Xenopus tropicalis: one gene and its partner. The protein of the gene in region 2 interacts with the protein of the main gene of each other region in a pairwise test. Links are inferred from orthologs where the notes say so. Each region holds a gene or a part of one and is shown on either strand. Other genes may lie near its edges. The genes, in order: elof1 and c5orf22.

Region 1 (3,921 bases), on a different chromosome or scaffold from region 2:
ATATCTTAGTTGGGATCAAGTACAGGTACTGTTTTATTATTACAGAGAAAAGGGAATCATTTAACCATTAAATAAACCCAATAGGGCTGTTCTGCCCCCAATAAGGGGTAATTATATCTTAGTTGGGATCAAGTACAGGTACTGTTTTATTATTACAGAGAAAAGGGAATCATTTAACCATTAAATAAACCCAATAGGGCTGTTCTGCCCCAATAAGGGGTAATTATATCTTAGTTGGGATCAAGTACAGGTACTGTTTTATTACTACAGAGAAAATGGAATCCGTTTTAAAATTCTGTATTATTTGATTAAAATGGAGTCTATGGGAGACGGGCTTTCCGTAATTTGGAGCTTTCTGGTTATCGGGTTTCCGGATAAGGGATCCCAACCTAGCCCAGTCTGAGTGCCCTTAGGTAAATAAGCAGCCACATTACTATAAACCCAAGTCAAGGCGCTTTACTGTATTCAGTCAAAAAATGAGTGCAATTCAGCTGTCTTTAGTACTTGCGTCTCTTACTTTTTTATATAATAGTGTATTTTTAATGGTTGCCATTGGGAGGTGTGTTTTAGTGGAATTAGCTAAAATAACTAGTCAATTAAAACCAGCAAGGTAAACAATACAAGGACAACTTTTTATTCAAACGCAAATGATGCAACCCCACAGCAATGTGTACTAAGGCGGGCATTACGTTTCAGTAAACAACCAATAGGATACAGCGAGGCTTTCCCTCGTGTTCTAGGCCTCGCTTAGCAACCAGCACGCCCCCTAGCAACCCGTACCTGAGGTGACGCTGCAAATATCCGTCCAATCGGAGCTAGGATAATCTCCCAGCCTGATCCAATCGCTTACCGCGTAACGATTGGCATGGCCGTGCCGCCAACCATCGTCGCAGCTGTTAAACACGAAGAACCAATTAGAGCGCTCAGGAGGCGGGCGCAATGGCTGCTCCGGATCCGCTGATTGGAGGCCGCTGTGGTCACCGGAAGTTGGAAAGTTAGGAGGAGGATAAGCATTGAGGCGCAGTGAGAAGAAGATTGCGGATTACCAGGCGGGAAATAGGTAGATAGAAATCTCCGATACGGTATTATACGCGTTAGAGTTCGATTGAACCGCGCTTGTGTGAAGCTGCCCTTGTCCTTCCCCTGTGCGGCTGCCATTACACGCATGTAGCTGTGTTTATTTGCCCACGTCGGCGCCACGTTAGTGACTAGAGCTGCGTGTCTGTGGAGCGTTATACCCAGCAGGCTTTCACAGTTGCGTGGGGCATGCTGGGAGATGTAGTCCAACAATTAGCGAAGGGAATCTCAGAGGCAGCTGTTGGTGTTTATGTGCGGGGCTTATATCTCCATCGCTGATTCGCCTTTCTCTCAGGGAGGCGTTGGGTAGTTGCAGTTTGCCCTTAGGATCAGGTCGCCATCAATATTTGCTTAAAAGCCCCACACAACACAGAAACCCCTAATATACCTTTTAACTGTAATCTGTTCCTTCAAACAGTAGGAATAAATCCCATTTATAGGCTGAAATCCAGCTGCAAAACAGCTCTTCTCTTTCTGCATCATTTGAAATCCCGGCAGGGGAGGAGGGACTAAAACACTGATGTTACAGATTGTAACAGCTTCACAGCTTACAGACAGCATGCAGGGACTACATAACCCACAATGCATTGCACTGGGATGTTCCTTTCCTTATTGAAGTCACGTGTGCTGCTAGAGCTGGGCGGTATGACCAAAAATTTATATCACGGTATTTTTCAAAATTATATCGGTGTCACGGTATTTGACGGTATTTTTTTTTTTCCATGCATGATTAGGTGTTAACCCCGTTTCCTAATAAATTAGAGAATAATTACTGCAGTATTGAAAATCAGAGTCAGGCAAGCGAAGGATCGGCAACAGAAAGTCGTAAGGTAAATCAGGCAGGCTTAGTTCCCAGGCAAGGCCGCAGACAACATAGCGCAGGAGGAGGTGTTTGATAGCTTTAAATACCCCCCACGCATGCGCAGAACCGGCGCCGTCAGCGCGTCATGGACGTGCACGCTTTGACGCGCGTGTGTGTGTGTGCGCGCAACATCCCACGGACAACGGGGCGCGTGTAGGGGCGCTTCTGCCATTAGGCGAGTTGAGAAACTCACATCAGGCGGCAGAAGCACCCCAGTTACCAGGGGCGGCAAAAAGCCGCTCGCGCGAGACCGGGCCGCACGGGTGAGTGCCCTTACACACCGGTATTGCGGTATCTGAAAAATGAATATAGTTTAAAAAAAAAAACACTGGTATTCGGTATTAAACGGTATATCGCCCAGCCCTATGTGCTGCAGTGGATTGTGGGATTGGAGGATGCAGGCTGAAGGCAGGCCGAGGACAGGCGACTACTGTTACATTTTATTTGAGTCACAAAGTAGTCATCCAGATCAGCAGGGGGTGGGGCCACAGAAGCCCCCACACACGGGGCAATAAGCTGCCAATTCGGTCAGTGTATGGCCAGCTTCAGGAGCAAAATGCCCTACTGATGCTAATCTGGCAGCCATTGTTGTTTGTCTGTATATATAATATATAGAGAATATAGTCTCTTCTCTAATGCTAAAGTCTTTAAGGGTATTGTTTTGCAAGTTAATACACTGGATCTGATTAACCAGCCTGCACTGAGGGATGATGGGATTTGGAAAACTGGATGGGGGTGGCCATATCAATTTATTTTAGGATAAAGCAGGTTTAAGCAGATGCTAAGCTTTATATACACAGCTACTGCAGTTGTAATGCCCCTGCTTGCACATGAGAAACAATCGCCTAGCAGGTCTGGAAATGTCTTGTGTTTATGGGAATTTTGGGGGCAATGTGGGCATATGTTACCATTTTGGTCTCTTGCCTGATGCCTTTTTTTTTAGCCCATACAGCTGGCTCCAAAATGCCTTCTGTGTGGAGACAATGATTTCACACAACTGCTGCCCGACAAGCAATATCATAAGATTCACATAGAGGTCAGGGGAGGCATTTTGGCCCCTCCTCCAAGTGGGCAAGGCAGCCAAGTTGTCCCTGTGGGAATGTTTACAAAAATGTTTACCTGCTAAAATGTTTTTTTTTGTTTGTTTTTTTAGCTTTGATTCATACGTAGAATCCAGAGGCAGAGATGGGACGCAGGAAGTCAAAGAGAAAGCCTCCACCCAAGAAGAAGATGACTGGGAACCTTGACACCCAGTTCACATGTCCATTCTGTAACCACGAGAAGTCCTGTGATGTTAAAATGTAAGCAAAGCCGTTTCCACTGGGGTGAGAGTGCACCGTGGGATTGTGGCTTGGTCAGAGCTCACGCTAGGCTTAGCAGAGATACAGAGAGATGGAGTAGCAAGGGGGTGGGGTGTTTAATGGTTTAGTCTGTTGTAAGGGAAAGGGGAAACACCCCTGTGACTTCTGAAGTCCTTCTATAGCCGGTAAATCTGTGTAACACTTGTCTTTCCCCCTTTTCCTTGCACACAGGGATCGATCGCGCAATACGGGTGTCATTTCGTGTACGGTGTGCCTGGAGGAGTTCCAGACTCCAATAACCTGTATCCTATCACTGAGTGTTTGTTGTCACCTCAGCCATAAGGTGGTAGTTAAAAGTGTATTGCAACTAGTGATATTGTAAGATAGTTTGCAGTTGGTCTACTTTGGTTAGTTTTTTTTTTAATTATTTAAAAGACAAGTAAAGCAAAATATTGCTTTTCACTTATTGTGGCATTGGGCTGCTTTTCCACTTCACCGCCTAGACCCCCCAGTGGCCTCAAAGTAGGTGCCATTTTTAAATCTCAAGCTCGGAGCCGAGTTTTGGAAACACAGAGACACCGTTTTATTCCAAGCAGCGTTCTGCAGGCCAGCAGTCTACATGGGGCTACCAAATAGCCGCCCTAGCAGCCCTTATTTAGCTTGTGTGGGTTATCAACACTT
Region 2 (3,821 bases):
GCTTTCTGCAGAATAAATATAGCTTTCCAGCTTGCACTAATGCTAATCTATTGGCAGTAAAATGGCAAAATGCCTTTCCTTCTTCTTTAAGCTACTAAGAAATGATCTCCTGTTTAAATAAAGCATGCATTGTTTTTCCATATATTGCATTATATTCAAGCCAGCCAATTATGTCAAAGACATCCGCAATCTGGTCAGTTCCATACTGATTTTCATCTGATTCATTAAAAATTCTACTGCTTCATTATACATTTTTTACATGGACTGCGTTTTACCTGCAGCTTACAAGGTTAAAATTCCTAAATAGATGCCCCCCCTTTTTTTTTTGCCCACCACAAGGATCACCTGGCTGTAGCTAGGAAAGGTGGGAGCTGGCCACTGGTATCACCTCGCTGTAGGTGGGAAGGGTGGGAGCTACAGCAGCTAATTTCTTGTTCTATAGGGCAATTGTGCGAGAAGCAGAAACTATAAATTTGGTTTAAATGTTTTTCTCCTCCTCAAGTGTCACAATGAGCAGCGAACAATCTCACCGCCTACGAAAATACAACAATCTACCAGTCTGGGTCGTAGAGGATCACCATGATGTACGTAGAATGGCAGGTACAGTTAATGTATGAGTGCACGCAAAGGACATTCTAGATGTCCTGGGTGTAAAGTATCTATTGGACAAAATTACATACATACATATTACATACTTTGACTGCCAGTATTGTATACATTTGCATAATCATCCTACGATCTACTGCAGTAGAATTTACCCACAGAAGCTCCTGAGTGGTTGCATTGTTTATCCTTGAAGAAGAAGTAAACTCTAAACAACCCCCAGAATAACATACCTTAGTGCTTTTGTTCATGGCTGATAGAGAAGAAGCTTTCTGGGAGTGCACAGTGAGTCAGGCAGTTATGAATGGGCACAGGAAAAAAAGCTGCTGCAGTACACTGGCTCCTATTCTCTGCATTCCCAGAAAGCTGCTTTTCTGTCAGCCATGCCCAGAAGGCTCTCCTCTTTGACTGTCCTGTAGTCAGACATGAGGAGAGCTGAACAGGAAGAAGGGTGGGGCTTCACTGTACCAGGAAGAAGGAAAGGAACTGGAAGTTTCAACTTATAAATCAGAAACCAGATCAGACTAAATGTAGGGACTAAGTAAGGTATGTTATTCTGAGGGGTTTTTAGAGTTATTTTAAAGATAGGTGAAAAAAAGGTTTAGTTCTTCTTTAAGGTCTAGTACATGTAACACAAGTTTAGGTGATATAATATAAAATATAAGTACATTTTATTTGTTGTAATTTAGCTAATTTGTGACTTCTTATTTTATCCACTGGAATATACAAAGTAAATATGGAAAAGGGTGTTAAAATCAATCCAGCTAATTTTAAGTTGCATGTACACCAGAGTGACAGCTAGCTGGTACATGACTTTGATCAGAACAATCATATACAGTTTAGATCAGTGTCTGCAGAAAATCTCCCTTTTTAAGAATGGTTTAATTTGTGTTGAACATACATATTGTGCATTGTTTTAATATTAAAATGTTTTTTTATTCCTTGCCCTGCTGTCCTCACTACGTGTTACCCTGAGCTTGTGTGTAGTTTGACATGCAGCTAAACTCCTTCCTTCATCAATTAACTGAGACATACTGTTGAGCTTCAACTTAAGTAACAAAGGAAAGGTGTAAAACTAGCGGAAACGGAAAAATGACAGTGCTTAGTACACAGCACAATATAAAATACTGCATAGTGCATTAAACACTGTAAAGTATGAATAAACACTAATATGTAGAAACATATAAAAGGTGAGAGGCATCTGAGTGAGAGTAAGGCCTAGATGCCCGGGAATTACTGATAGCAGTACCATGAGGTGACTGCACATAAGTCATAAACCTGAATAAAGGCACAAGCCATGTAACTGATCAGAACCAATATGCTGCTTAAAATATGCTATTTATTTAAGAATTTAATTCATCATAGGGCATTTTAAGCCCTAAGTGTTTCATGCCTATACAGGACACTTTATCATATAAATTAATCATTAATTACATCAGTCCGGTTTTGTTGCCAGCCTGTTTGTCAAGATGAAGAACCATTTCCCAGCCATAAATTCTGGGATTTGGCGTTTACAGAGAATCTGTGCACCACCTGTATAAAAACAGAGGACACTTTAAAGGAGAAGGAAAGGCAAAGTCACTTGGGGGTGCCAAAATGTTAGGCACCCCCAAGTGACTTAAATCGCTTACCTGGTACCCCAGGCTGGTGCCCCTGTTAGGAGAAATCAGCACCAGCCCAGGGTACCTTGAGCGATCGCTTCCTTCTTCCTCTTTCTTCTGCCAGCAAAATCCCTGGGCCGCCACATACGCAGTAGAGCGAAAAGCTAACTTTGTTGTTAAAGTTCGGCTTATCACTCTACTGCGCATGCACTCGCGCACAAAACAGGAAGAAGGAAGCGCTCGCTGCTACCCCGGGCTGGTGCTTTTCTCACCTAACAGGGGCACCAGCCCGGGGTACAAGGTAAGCGATTTAAGTCACTTGGGGGTGCCTAACATTTTGGCACCCCCAAGTGACTTTGCCTTTCTTTCTCCTTTAAGAACAGACCTTTAAGTCCTATAATTCATCAGTTTACAATGGAACATGGGAAAGCAGGGGCTGGATCAAGCTGTGAGGCTAAGCAGGTGGGGGGGGTGGGGTATGGTCCCTTCAATACATTATTATTGTTTCCTTAAAATCTGTGGGATCAGGCATGTCTGTGTAAAACAAAATTCATTTATATTTATAGTGTTTATGCACCTTTTTTTTTACAAAAGTCCAAGTGTCCAACGGAATTAGCTTACAGGGTAAAGTAAATGTTCCCTTTTAAGTCATCATCGAGATGATGTTGACACTTTTTTTAAAAAAAAGAAAAAAAAAACCACTAAACTCTGAGGTGTACCTTTCTGGAAACTAAATGTGTTTTAAAACAAAGCTTGAGCTGTTGGTTCCATCCTAGTATTACACCCACTTGCCAAGTCTCACTGCACAAGTAAATTGGTTGCAAGACTTATTTATTTATTTATTTGTTGTGTTTTCCATTTCCAGGTGTTCTCAGTTTTAACCAGCTCCACTACTTACGGCATAAACTAGAACCTAAACTGTTCTGCCTACTGTTTTCACAGTTAAAAAAAGAAATACATCATTACTTTTACCTCCTGCTGCCTATCCCTTTCTAACAAACTAAATCATAGTTTTCCATTCTATATAATAGCACCATTGTTTAAATTGTTACCTCCAGAGTTATCCATTGGTTTTACCCTCCAACCCTACTGAGTTAATCTTGTGGAAGCGTTAATGATTCTCCTTTGCTAGAAACCCTCCCTATGTATATCATACAGGGAGCAGTGATTTTGCAGCAGGAGGGTTTGAAACTAGAGCAGAAACAACAATAAATGGAATCAGCCTGAAAGTGCACTTTTTACATTATGTTTTCTCTCTGCAGGTCCTGCCCTTTATTTATCGAGCTATAGGGTCAAAACACCTGCCTGTCAGCAACATTAGCTTCATTCACTTTGATTCCCATCCAGATCTCCTGATACCAGTGAACATGCCTGCAGATACTGTGTTTGACAAGGAATCCTTGTTTAGGTAATGCTTTGAAATTATTTTCTTAAAATCTTTGCTTTTATTTGCCTTGTTCTACTTAATAGATCTTTTCAGTTCAGCAGATAAAACGTGAGCAAATTGTTTGAAAATATGTTTATTTGTTTTTTGGCTTGCTCTGTTGTGGGCTATATTTCCTTGAGAAAGCTATTTAAAGTAGAGACAAAACATAAACAGATAATGACACCTCACTA

Evidence for each region.
Region 1: the proteins of c5orf22 (region 2) and elof1 interact in binary tests that used the Homo sapiens proteins (3 or more experiments, as listed by UniProt). The two-hybrid records come from large-scale screens. The link is inferred for Xenopus tropicalis from reciprocal best matches to the Homo sapiens genes C5orf22 and ELOF1.

The regions. Positions count from the first base shown.
Region 1 is NC_030679.2:139,392,310-139,396,230, reverse strand, and holds the start of elof1 (transcription elongation factor 1 homolog), read left to right. Parts: upstream 1-1,007; 5' UTR 1,008-1,060; intron 1,061-1,654; exon of another isoform or gene 1,655-1,720; intron 1,721-1,811; exon of another isoform or gene 1,812-1,907; intron 1,908-3,092; 5' UTR 3,093-3,124; coding exon 3,125-3,240; intron 3,241-3,471; coding exon 3,472-3,542; intron 3,543-3,921. UniProt on the Homo sapiens protein: Factor involved in transcription-coupled nucleotide excision repair (TC-NER), a mechanism that rapidly removes RNA polymerase II-blocking lesions from the transcribed strand of active genes.
Region 2 is NC_030682.2:84,259,604-84,263,424, forward strand, and holds part of c5orf22 (UPF0489 protein C5orf22 homolog), read left to right. Parts: intron 1-502; 5' UTR 503-509; coding exon 510-584; coding exon of another isoform or gene 585-600; intron 601-3,466; coding exon 3,467-3,612; intron 3,613-3,821.